Callithrix jacchus: one gene and its partners. The protein of the gene in region 1 purifies or fractionates together with the protein of each later gene. This does not show direct contact. Links are inferred from orthologs where the notes say so. Each region holds a gene or a part of one and is shown in the gene's direction. Other genes may lie near its edges.

Region 1 (4,637 bases):
TAGGGAATATGAACAATGACAATTCTGCAGCTTTGGGTAAACTCACAGACTCAGTTTCCACAACGTTATAACACCCAATTAAAACTTCTGTCCAAATTCCACAGCACCGTTTGAAGGTATGTTTATGTTTAGAATATTCATGGCAAGCCCGCCGGCTTCGGGTCACAAGATAGCCAGGGACAGATTGGTGACTACCTCCAAATCTCCCTGGAAAGGGTTATCTTCCAGACCTCCAGATCGCCCTCCAGAGTCTCGGGTTGTGGAGGACAACAACAGAAAGACTGCTGGGGGTGGGGTGGGGGATTTAAACTGTTGCGTCAAGCAAATGGCCAAAAGTTAAGAGTCAACTGGGACCTTGCAAATCATTCCGCCTAACCCTTTGTTTTGCAGACGGGGAAAATATGCCTCAGAAGGGGGAACCGTAGCTCGGGGAACACTAGTTCAGGGTATCAACGATTTGAGCTTGTCTTCTCTGGTCCTGGTCAGTGGTCCTTCTTCCCCATTACCCAATCTCAAGTGCTTCTACTGGCTGCCAAAACAGCGGGTAGTGGAGCGAGAGAACCGGCACCACCGCAGTGTAGCCAGGTTGTCTGGGCTAAAAAAAACAATAACAACAAAAAAAGTCTTAGAAGCAATCGGGCCAATCTCTCTTCTTACAGGTGGAGAAACTTAAGAAAGTAGAGTGACGCAGCTAAGGGAGTAAATCGATCCTCAGGCAACAAGTGGCAAAAGCCTGAAATTGATAAAGATCACTGACGACCCCCGCTCCCCATCTCCAAAGGAGCAAGTATCACAACCACCCCCGCGACCCCTCCCCACACCACATTTCATTCAGCAAAACTCCAGCGCCTCCCACCCAGAACCTAGGAGAGGGAAGGCGGAGCAACAGTAACAGCTGGTACGCAGCAACCACAGCACCACGGCAACAGCTGGTACCGACATCCCGCCTAGCTCTTTTGACTCTGTTAGCCGGAAGAATGAGGAAACAGTAAGGCTGCGGCGCCTCCCGCGAGAAGAGGTACCTGAGGCTCGTGCCGCAGTCCCGCGCTGCACCGGCACCGGAGCTCAACACCCCACTTCCGGGGTCAAATCAACGCGGAGAAGCCCGTGACCGCAGAAGGGGAGCCTGAGGTTCCGCCCCTATCCAAGCCCTACCTCCACTGCCGCTAGCCTGGGATCCGGCAACTTCCGGGACGCCGCGCGTCACTAAGCAGCCAATCTCCACTTCCGGACGCATCACGCCCCTTCCGCACCCCTTTCAGAGACGGCGCGACGGCGACGTAAGTTTCCGCGCATTTAATTGGCGAAGCTGGAGCGCTAGTCTTCGCTGATTAGTACAGAGAAATCTGCCCCATAGACACCCGCGGGGCTCACAGTTTTAGTTAGTCTTCCGTGGGTTTCCCGCCAGCCGCAGTCTTGGACCATATAATCATGGTGGATATGATGGAGTTGCCCAGGGCGCGCATGAACGTCAGCATGCTAACTCAGTTCATCGACAAGCCTGTCTGCTTCGTAGGGAGGCTGGAAAAGGTGTGCGGGTTCGTCGTCGTGTGCTCCGCTATCCGAGGCCGGAGGGAGGGACCCTTTGACCTCCTGGGTGGCGGATTTTGAGTGGATAACTGGGTAATGGGGGATGAAGGAGGATGGGAAGCCTCAGATCACTGCGCTTCCGAATCCTTTATTTTGCACAAGGAGTCATTTTGAAAATTGTTTAACCATTATAGCCCCATTTTGGCGCCTCTTTTATGGCAGGGAAACAAGGTGTTTTCAAATGCTTTGCGTTCTAAATTCCAATGTTCTTCGCCTCCATCCAGGCAGTGCTTATCTAAGGGAAACTATAGACACGACTCCCACATCTACCTTCAAATTTCTTAGTTTACTCAGACGTGATAGACGCCGTCAAAACTAATCTGCTTATTCCTTCTCTTCTGAAATCACTTCTTTTTGCAGACCTCGTTTCCTCGTTGTAATGGCTTCTTTGCAAAACCTGCCTTGATTGTCCGCTTTGAGTCCCGTAGTAGTGAGTTATCTAGCCCCACTATTAAAGTGAAGTCCCCTCATTCTACTGGAGAGAAACAGGCCCAAAGTCTTGGAATCAGAGACCTGAGAAGCTGGGGCCGGGGGGGGGGGGGGGGGAACTATTATATAAAGACTTAGTAGTAGCTCATTGCATCTACACATCCTCTTCCTTAAATGAGTGTTACTCTGACTTCACAAGTAGGGAAACTGAGTAGGAGTGATAGGTGGTTGACTCAAATGCTTCGAAACCCAGCAAGTGGCAAAGCTGGCATTCAAATGAGATCTCACAGCGCTCTTTACAGCTACTTGCCAGGAGTAGGACCCAGATATTCTAGCAACCAGTTCTCCGTTAACTTCATCATGCCTGATTTTTAAAACATAAACTCCATGGGTTGTGTACTGTCTAAATCATAATTGCCAGCAGGTTTCACTTTTAGCTAGGGCGGGCCTCCCTTTAATTTGTTATTGGAATAGGATTGCCATATTTAGCAAATGCAGAACCTACTTATACTACAAAACACATTCCTTGTTTGTCCGAACTTCCAAATTAACTGTGTGTCCCATGAACAGATTTGGTAATATAAGATTATAATTTGAACCAATAAATTGAATAGAATGAATAAACTGTTCAAAAAACGATTTGTGCTCAACTAAGGATCAATGTGCTCATCTTTTGTCAAACTTATTTGTTGTTTTAATGAGATTTTAATCATATGTTTCGTTTTAGATTCATCCCACCGGAAAAATGTTTATTCTTTCAGATGGAGAAGGAAAAAATGTAACCATCGAGTTGATGGAACCTGTATGTTTAAGTATTAATAGGTCTCATGTATATTATAGTTAATTCTTCAACTGGGTTTGGTTTGTTGTTGATGTTTCTAATTTTTGGAGTGGATGTAAAAAAGATGAGCTGGTGAAACATCCCTGGCTCTAAAATTAAATTCTTGTACTATTCTCTCATTATATTTCCTTTTACATTTGTAATCGATGGTTTTTATTGGGCTTCATGATTTTTGAACATGTCCCTTAAATGCTGGATAACAATTTTCATTCCTTATGAAAGGCCATAAAATTACATAAGAAAAATTTAAACTGCTTTTTTCTTCCTCAAGAGTTTTTTTGTTTTGAGACAGGGTCTCACTCTGTTGCCCCAGGTAGAATGCAGTGGCACCATCGTGGCTCACTGCAGCCTCAGCCTTCCACGATCAAGTTGCTCCCATCTCAGCCTCCCCAGTAGCTGGGACTTTAGGCATGCTCAATTGTGTCTAGTTAATTTTTTTTTTTTTTTTTTTTTGGTAGAGATGGCATCTCCCTATGTTACTCAGGCTTGTCTTGAACTCTTGGTCTCAAGCAACCATCCTCCTGCCTGGACTAACCCAGCAAGTGTTTTAAATTTTATTTTATTTTCTGTTTTTGTTTATATATTTCCAGTTTTTACTTACTTATTTTTTCATTTTATGTTTAATGTACTTAGAACTTTTTTGGTATTTTGTGAAGACAGATCCATATGATACTTGGTTATACAGTATACATTGTGAAATACAAATTATAGAAGGTTCTTCCTCTCAATAAGAAATTACTGCTTATAGAAATGCTGGACGTTTTCAATAAGTAATTTTGTCTTTAACTTGAATTGTAGCTTTGGATTTGAAGCTACTACTCATGGTAACAGGAATTTTAACATGCTCTCAGTTAAGTACTGAAACGTTTTTTAACCAGTTACATTTTAACTTTAGCACTGGTAATTTTTAAAATTACTTTCTTACTTGAATTGAAAGATTAGTAATCTGTATTAACAGTTTTCCAAATTAATTGTCAACTGAAAATGTGATAACAGTAAATTGATGTTTTGTTCCATGTCTTAGCTTGATGAAGAAATATCTGGAATTATAGAAGTGGTTGGAAAAGTAACCGCTAAGGCAACCATCATGTGTACATCTTTTGTCCAGTTTAAAGAAGATAACCATCCTTTTGGTAACTAAAGCATTCTAGTATTGACTGGTTTTATGTAATTAGCAGGAAAACAATTTTATTTTTAATTTTATATCTATTGGCCTAGCATTTAGTACTGTCATATTTTCAATTTCTATAGAATTTTCTGATCCTAAAGGAAAATGGGAATACGTTTTGTTTTGTCCTGCTTCTAAGTAGTGCTTATATATGTAAGAAACTCAGTACAGATTAATTAATATTTGTAGAAAGATAATTTTTAAATATAACAAATAAAATAATATTAGTCGTTTTGTTGTAATATATGAATTGAAGGAATGGAATAATCCATAACACCTAAAATACTACCAGGCAGATACTGCCTGTATAATGAACATCGAAATGGATGGTATTCCCATGTTTTTTTGTTTGTTTCTCTCTTTCTCTTTTTGGCGCCACAGTTAAATACAAGAATCTGTAATCCATATCTCCAATTTTAAAAATTCACTTCCAAAGGGTGAGAAAAGGGAAATAAATAAAAATATCTTAGGTGATAATTGATGTTACAACTTTCCACTGTAGATTAAATGTTTGCTTAAATGTTTCTTTCAGATCTTGGACTTTACAATGAAGCTGTGAAAATTATCCATGAGTTCCCTCAGTTTTATCCTTTAGGGATTGTGCAACAT
Region 2 (4,174 bases), on another chromosome or scaffold:
CACTGAACAATACCAGCATCAAAGGCTTTTATTCAAGTATGTGGCTTTTTGAACAGCTGCTGTTGTTATGTAAGAAAAATATGTTCATTTCAATGTTCAGTAACCAGTATTGAACACAGGTTGTGTGCCAAGCACCCTATTAAATTCTGGGGCTAACAAGAGAATAATAAAGTCCTCAGATGTCACTCTTATGGGGTAGTATCGTACCCTTTCATAGGTCTTAGAGGTTTTTGAGAATATGATAAAAATGTGCACATGCACATATTTATGTGCTGTTTATATGATTTTAGAGGATTCACAGGTGAATCCTGTAAACAGAGAAAGAAAATAAACAAACCGTATGTAATACAGTGTGATGAGTAAGGAATTAAGGCCAGCAGACGAAGTAGTAATTATGTTTGGGGCGTTGAATTAAAGGGGTGGTAATTGTTTGGAAAGAGCTTGAAGAATGAGAGAAAACCATTTGGAGGTGGAAGAGATTATTGCAGGCAAAAGTAGTAGAAGAGAAGACAGTGTGCAAGTGCCCACTGTGTTTCAGGTTGTAACTGAGTTCATGGAAAATAAGATACTCAAATGAAGGACCACACAGGGTCTATTTAGAGCCGATACTGTGTTGTTTTGTCACCTGAATTCTTGATGCCTTCACATTGTTCTAAATAATTTGCTCAGGAAATGTCACTCTTAGACATGGCGAGTGGGAGGGTAAATTGGTACAACTCTGGAGAGTAGTCTGGCAATATTTCTCAAATTACATATACCCTCTAGCCCAGAAATTCTAATTGCTGGAATTTAGCATTTATTATACTTTTATATGTGCATAGTGGCATATATATATGCCATATAGATAAGGATAGCTAGTTAGTATGATAGAAAAAAGCCTGGAAGCATCCTATATATTTCATTAATAGAGAGTGATTAAGTAAAGTGTGATACAAGTGTAGAATGGAATATTAAATTGCCTTAAAAAAATGATGTGTCCTATATCTACAGATAAAGTATGAATTACCAAAATACATAAAAATGACAAAACTGGCCGGGCATGGTGGCTCATGCCTGTAATCCCAGCACTTTGGGAGGCTGAGGTGGGCGGATTACCTTAGGTCAGGAGTTCGAGACTAGCCTGGCCAGCATGGTGAAAACTCGTCTCCACTAAAAATACAAAAATTAGCTGGGTGTGGTGGTGTGCACCTGTAATCTCAGCTACTCTGGAGGCTGAGGCAAGAGAATCGCTTGAACCTGGGAGGCAGAGGTTGCAATGGGCTGAGATCGTGTCATTGCACTCCAGCTTGGGCAACAAGAGCAAAACTCTATCTCCAAAAAAAAAAAAAAAATGACAAAACTCAGTTGCATATTTTTATGCACTTATGTGTATCTCTTTAGGGACATATAAGAGACTATTGTTTGCCTCTGGGAAGGGAATTGGGGTCTGCAGTGGAAGGGGTGGCAGGGAGAGTTTCTCTTCACTGCATATTTTGTTTTTTCTTTAACAACACTCTAGTCCAACACTGCATATTCTTGTAGTGTTTGAAGTTTAATATGTTTTATCTAACTTTCTACAGAAAAGCAGTTTTTGAACAATTGTTATTTTGTTTTTGTCTCATCCCGTTGCTCCTCAACCTGGGTCAGATGGAGCCTCTTCAGTAAGCACGAAGCATGCTGTCATCATGGATGAAGTAGATGGCATGGCAGGCAATGAGGATAGGGGAGGAATTCAGGTAATCCAAGTGGTGTATTTTTGCAGTTTCATTATTGATATATAGATTATTAAAACATTGTCATTCTCCTATTTATAGCAGTTAAGGCATGTTGCTGAGGAGATTTTTAGAACCTAAAATACGATGTGTGGTACTTGTCATTTTTTAAATAATTATTTTTGTGTTGCAAACTTGCCTTTCAGGAATTAATTGGCCTGATAAAGCATACTAAAATTCCCATTATTTGTATGTGCAATGATAGAAATCATCCCAAAATTCGTTCTCTGGTTCATTATTGTTTTGATCTTCGTTTTCAAAGACCTCGGGTTGAACAGATTAAGGTATGATGATTGAAATTTTTTTCCTTCACATTAGTCTATTTATTTAAGGGTCAATTTTTAAAAGTACCTGATAAATATTTTAAAAATATCTGATTATATGAGTTAAAAAAAAATCACTGAAAATTCCTCCCTTGTCGATCTCAGGGTGCTATGATGTCTATTGCATTTAAAGAAGGTTTAAAGATTCCCCCTCCAGCTATGAATGAAATAATTTTGGGAGCCAATCAAGATATCAGACAGGTAAATTAAATACATATTATGTAACAGTTGCTGATTATTTTTAATTAATTCTTTCAACCTTGTAGAGATGGGGAACAATGGGATTTTCCTATCTTGACATTGTCTTACTTGTGATTCTTCTAGGTTTTACATAATCTGAGTATGTGGTGTGCACGAAGTAAAGCATTAACCTATGACCAGGCCAAGGCTGATTCTCACAGGGCCAAAAAGGATATCAAAATGGTAAAATAAATTTCCATGTCTTAGTTACTTTCCCAAGCCAAAACACTTCTTGTTCTCTAGGTAGCTGGATAGAAATAGTTAATATAGTTTCTTGATATGCCTATGGAATCCAGGGATATTTATAGTAAGAAGTACAGACAGTTGCTAAAAGTGTTTCTAATTCAAATGAATTTTTTCTGGAAGATTGTCAATGTTTATTATCAATTTTGAGAAAGGGATACATTTTAAATTATACTCATGCTTCAATAGTTATAAATTGGGCTTTTCCAGAGTTCCTTATGTTTGGCTTTCAAATGCTTGGAATGGTTTTGCACTGTTCAGAATAATCCATGTCAAATGGTTTAGTTTAATAGCCTCTCTGAAACTAGAGGTCTGTATCAGTTACCTCTATGTTGTATTTTACCTAGTTGCTAATCAAAATTTGTCATTAGAGCAATGATTAAGCAAATTCTAAAAAAGTTAATACACTTTCTTATTTATTTAAATTTTAAAAATTTTTGGTAGAGACAAGGTCTCACTATGTTTTCCTGACTGGTCTCGAATTCCTGGCCTCAAGCAATTCTCCTGCTGTGGCCCCCAAAGTGCTGGATTACAGGTGTGAGCCACCACTTCTGGCCTATACCCCCCTCCCTCCCTCCCTCCCTCCTTCCTTCCTTTCCCTATCCCCTCCCTTCCCCACCTCCTTTCTAACAGAGTCTCCTTCTGTAGCCCAGGTTGGAGTGTAGTGGCACAATTTCAGCTCACTGCAACATCTGCCTCCTGGGTCCTGGTTCAAGCAGTTATCCTGCTTCAGCTTCCCCAGTAGCTGGGATTATAGGAACGTGCCACCATACCCAGCTAATTTTTGTATTTTTAGTACAGACGGGGTTTCACCATGGTCTTAACTCCTGACCTTGTGATCCACCTGCCTAGGCGTCCCAAAGTGCTGGGATTACAGGCATAAGACACTGTGCCTGGCCTACGCTTTATTTTTTTAGAGCAATTTAGGCTCACACAAAATTGAGTGGAAGGTACAGAGAGTTCTCACATACTTCCTGTCCCCCTCACACGCATAGCCTCTCCCACCACCAACATCCCCCACCAAAGTGGTATATTTGTTATAATCGATGAAACTACATGGATACCTCATTATCACCCAGAGTTCATCGTATACATTAGCATTCCCTCTTGGTGTTTTACATTGTATGGTTTTGACAAATATAATGACATGTATTCACCATTATATACATGTTTCACTGTCCTGAAAATCCTCTGTGCTCTACCTATTCATTCTTCCTTTCCTCCTTTCCTCTCTACAACTCCTGGCAACCACTGATCCTTCTGTGTCCATAATTTTGCCTTTTCCAGAATGTGGTATAGTTGGAATCACGTAGCATGTGGACTTTTTCAATTGGCTTCTTTCACTTAGTAATAGCATATAAGGTTCTTCCATGTCTTTTTTTTTTTTTTTTGAGTCTGAGTCTCTGTCACCCAGGCTGCAGTACAGTGGTGTGATCTTGGCTCACTGTAGCCTCTGCCTCCCGGGTTCATGTGATTCTCTTACCTCAACCTCCCGAGTAGCTGGGATTACAGGCACCAGCCACCACATCTGGCCAATTTTTTATTTTTAGTACAGATGGGGTTTTACTATGTTGGGCAGGCTGGTCTGGAGCTCTTGACCTCAAGTGATCCGCCCAC
Region 3 (4,174 bases), on another chromosome or scaffold:
TAAAGGAAACTCATGGGACCAGAAGAATGATATTATGGGATTCGAATTTTAAGCCCAAGACAGTTTGGGTTTAGGGCTGCAGGACGGTGGTTGGTTAGTGCTTCCCAGTCAAGCTCTCCCTTGGACTTTAGGGAAATGAGAAATGTAAGAATACCATGGTGAATTTTTCATGACTGAATGTATTCAAATCCAAAGCACTATTTTCTTGCTTATGGGATGTCAATAGTTATGTCTCATGAAATTGTATTGCTAAAAAAGATGGTAGTTATTTTTACCTCATGGTTTTTAATGTCCTAACTAAACAAAAAAATCGGTAAGTGACACGAAATTCTCTCCCTGCCCAAGTTTTTTGGAAAATTAACTTACGGTGGAAATCCATAAATGTGGGATGTGCTGAAATACCACTGTGCAGCCCCTTACAGTCCCAGTACTGCTCAGACCTGTGCCATGCAGTACAGTACCAGTTAGGTACATGTGGCTATTTAAATTTCAATGAAATAGAATAAAAAATTTAAACCCTCAATGGTACTAGCTACATGTTTCCTCCTCTGGTCCTGGAAATGGGGTGGGAAAATCGCTCTATGTTGCAGTTAGCCTTTTTACCACTAGATGGCGAGGCCTCCTACACAAGTCCTGATGCTGTATGAGTTACCATTTTAATAGCGTTTACCACTGGCTGTCTTGGGCACCATTGGGTGGGTAGGTGGTTCCAGGGAGGGCAGGGCTGAAAGGAGAAGCAGTTGTTGGTAGTTGTGGGCATCCCCAGCCCCCTTTTATAAGATTGTTAGGATCTATATCCTTTTTCTGACTGATACTCTCTGATATTTGTTTTCCTTTTAGGACCTGGTGTTTTCTGCTTCCCCCGATGCCACTATTAGGATTTGGTCGGTCCCCAATGCGTCTTGTGTACAGGTGGTTCGGGCCCATGAGAGTGCTGTGACCGGCCTCAGCCTTCATGCCACTGGTGACTATCTCCTGAGCTCCTCCGATGATCAGGTGCGGTCCCAGCCAGTGCCCTGGAGAGGCCTGCTGGTCCCCAAGCTTGAACATCCTGGGTGGCAGGAACATCTTCCCACCCCAGGTGGTTCCCCAGAACCTCAAAGGGGAATGTTTCCTCTGCTGGGAGGTGCTAGGTTTGCCAGGGTTTGCGAAACCAGGGGCTCTGCCTTCCTGAAGGGCCACCAAAGCCTAGGACCCACTCTCTCTCTGACTCCATCGTCTCTCTCTCTCTCTCTCTTTTTTTTTTTTCCAGTACTGGGCTTTCTCTGACATCCAAACAGGGCGTGTGCTTACCAAGGTGACAGATGAGACCTCCGGCTGCTGTAAGTTGCCTTGTAGACACTCAGCTTTTTGTTTGCTGTTTATCATTTATTTTTATGTTTTATTTAGTCATTTGCTTATTTGTTCTAAAGATACATTTACCACCAGCACCTGTCTAGTGCCAGGCTTTGTCCTGGGTGCACTGACGAATGTGAAGAACAAGGAACCTACCTTTGCTGCTCTTAGTCTCTCCCTGGTGGGCTCTAATCACAGGTCTGTCTTCCCTCTTCCACAGCTCTCACCTGTGCACAGTTCCACCCTGACGGACTCATCTTTGGAACGGGAACCATGGACTCTCAGATCAAGATCTGGGACTTGAAGGTAGGAGAACATGGTAGGCCTCCATCTGAGGCCCCGGGCTGGAGGGAGCGTCTGTGACAGTGCAGTGCTGATTGGGTGCTTGTGGCACCTGGCCTTGAGGGTGGAGAGACACTGGCTGTGCATGTGTGATATGATGGTGTGGTCTGGGTGGCATCCTGCTGGCTGTCCTTCCTGGAAGGACAGTGGTGGACATCTCAGGTAGGAGTTTGCTGAGCCCCATTTTCTTCCTCTCGTGATGTATGGGTGACATATTTTACTCCCCACCGCCACTGTAGGAACGAACCAATGTGGCCAACTTCCCTGGCCACTCGGGCCCCATCACCAGCATTGCCTTCTCTGAGAATGGTTACTACCTGGCGACAGCGGCTGATGACTCCTCTGTTAAGCTTTGGGATCTGCGCAAGCTTAAGAACTTTAAGACGTTGCAGCTGGATAGCAACTTCGAGGTGTGCCCCTCTCCCTCCCCAGCTTCCCATTGTGCCTCCTTATTTGTTGATTATTGAATTAATCTCATTGCTTCTGCTTATCTGCAATTGCCCCATAGTTTCTGTTCCCCTCGTGTGACCTTTCTGTTTCTAACAGGTAAAGTCACTGATCTTTGACCAGAGTGGTACCTACCTGGCCCTTGGGGGCACGGATGTCCAGATCTACATCTGCAAACAATGGACGGAGATTCTTCACTTTACAGGTAGAGGCTGGTCTCTAGGTGCCCAGGCCTGGAGGGAAGCCTCACTGGGTTAGGAATCTCTAAGGCTTGCATGAATTTACCTAAGCAGCTTTCGGTTACCACCTAAGGCAGAGCTTTATAGCTAAGGAAGCAGACTGAGACTGCATGGCAGTAAATGCTAGTACCAGCTCTGCCACTTCCATGCCTTGTGGCATTGGGCAGGTTGCTGGAGGAAGAGAAGACTCCTCCCTCTGAAGGTTTGCTAACTGAATCTGAAATAAATGGACATTAGACAGAGTGACAGGAGGAAAGCCATTTTAATTCTCTGTGCACGAGAGTCCCACAAAACATTAGACTTGCAGAGGGTCAGATGATTGAAGATCATACAGTCACATCCCTTAATGGGGATATGTTCTGAGAAATATCTTGTTAGGCCATTTCGCCATGTGCAACCATTATAGCGTGTACTTACACATACCTAGTGGTGTGGCCTACTACACACCAAGGCTAGTGCTATAACCTTAGTAGAGTCTATTATTGCTCCTAGGCTACAAACCTGTACAGTGTATTAAATGTACTGAATACAGTTATAACACAATGGTAAGTATTTGTGTATCTAAACAGATCTAAACATAGAAAAGGTTCAGTTAAAAATAAGGTATGAGAGATTGTTAAAAAATGGTGCACTGGGAAATGGTGCTTGCCATGAATGGAGCTTGCAGGACTGGAAGTGGCTTTCAGTGAGTGAGTGGTGAGTGAATGTGAAGGCCTAGGACATTACCATACACTGACTGCTGTAGACTTTGTAAACACAGTACACTTCGGTTCTACTAAGTTTATAAAACGCTTTTTCTTCAGTAATAAATTAGCCTTAGCTAACTTTTTTACTTTATAAACTTAAAAAATTGACTCTTGTAACAACATTTAGCTTAAAGCAAACATTGTACAGCTGTACAAAAATATTGTCTCTCTTTACATCCTTGTTCTATAAGCTTTTTTCTGTTTTCTAATATTTTTACTTTTTAATTTTTTCCTGTTAAAAACTAAGATACAAGCACACATTAGCCTAGGCCTACGGGTCAGGAACACCAGCTGTATTAGTCCGTTCTCACACTGTTATGAAGAACTGCCTGAGACTGGGTAATTTATAAGGGCGAGAGGCTTAATGACTCACAGTGACTGGGGAGGCCTCAGGAAGCTTCCAATCATGGTAGAAGGGAAAGCAGCAGCGGGAGAGACAAATGCTGAGCAAAGGGGGTAAAGTCCCTTATAAAATCATCAGATCTCTTGAGAACTCAGTATCCTGAGAGCAGCATGGGAGTAACCACCTCCACAATTCAATTACTTCCCACCGGGTTCCTCCCACAACATGTCGGGATTATGGGCACTACAATTCAACGTGAGCTTTGAGTGGGGGCACAGCCATATCACCAACATCACTGTCTTTACCTCCACATCTTGTCCCACTGGAAGGTCCCAGGGGGCACTAACACGCATAGACCTGTCATCTCCTTTGATGATGCCTTCTTCCTGGATACCTCTTGAAAGGGCCTGCCTGGTGCTGTTTTATAGTTAACTTTTTTTTGTAAGTAGAAAGAATATACTTAAAATAATGCCAAAAAGTACAGTATAGGTATACCTTGTCTTTTTGCACTCAGCTTTATTGTGCTTTGTGGATCCTTTGTTTTTTGTGAATGGAAGATTTTTGGCAGCCCTGCCCCAAGTGGGTCTGTCAGTGCCATTTTTCCAACAGTGTCTATTCACTTGGTGTCTGTGTGTCACATTTTGGTAATTCTCACAGCATTTCAAACTTTTTCGTGATACGTATCCGTTATGGTGATCTCTGATTAATGATCTTTGATGTTG

Evidence for each region. Proteins that work in one complex are often made in the same cells at the same time.
Region 2: the proteins of RPA3 (region 1) and RFC1 purify together in Homo sapiens (affinity purification with mass spectrometry; 3 studies listed by BioGRID and IntAct, with this or other methods). This does not show direct contact. The link is inferred for Callithrix jacchus from reciprocal best matches to the Homo sapiens genes RPA3 and RFC1.
Region 3: the proteins of RPA3 (region 1) and PRPF19 purify together in Homo sapiens (affinity purification with western blotting; 3 studies listed by BioGRID, with this or other methods). This does not show direct contact. The link is inferred for Callithrix jacchus from reciprocal best matches to the Homo sapiens genes RPA3 and PRPF19.

What each region holds. Positions count from the first base shown.
Region 1 is NC_133512.1:51,153,016-51,157,652, forward strand, and holds the start of RPA3 (replication protein A 14 kDa subunit), read left to right. Parts: upstream 1-1,380; 5' UTR 1,381-1,431; coding exon 1,432-1,530; intron 1,531-2,746; coding exon 2,747-2,821; intron 2,822-3,884; coding exon 3,885-3,993; intron 3,994-4,560; coding exon 4,561-4,637. UniProt on the Homo sapiens protein: As part of the heterotrimeric replication protein A complex (RPA/RP-A), binds and stabilizes single-stranded DNA intermediates that form during DNA replication or upon DNA stress.
Region 2 is NC_133504.1:154,497,127-154,501,300, forward strand, and holds part of RFC1 (replication factor C subunit 1), read left to right. Parts: coding exon 1-36; intron 37-1,626; coding exon 1,627-1,715; intron 1,716-1,897; coding exon 1,898-2,035; intron 2,036-2,179; coding exon 2,180-2,275; intron 2,276-2,398; coding exon 2,399-2,497; intron 2,498-4,174. UniProt on the Homo sapiens protein: Subunit of the replication factor C (RFC) complex which acts during elongation of primed DNA templates by DNA polymerases delta and epsilon, and is necessary for ATP-dependent loading of proliferating cell nuclear antigen (PCNA) onto primed DNA.
Region 3 is NC_133511.1:117,920,098-117,924,271, reverse strand, and holds part of PRPF19 (pre-mRNA-processing factor 19), read left to right. Parts: intron 1-840; coding exon 841-996; intron 997-1,252; coding exon 1,253-1,322; intron 1,323-1,555; coding exon 1,556-1,641; intron 1,642-1,916; coding exon 1,917-2,087; intron 2,088-2,223; coding exon 2,224-2,329; intron 2,330-4,174. UniProt on the Homo sapiens protein: Ubiquitin-protein ligase which is a core component of several complexes mainly involved pre-mRNA splicing and DNA repair. Required for pre-mRNA splicing as component of the spliceosome.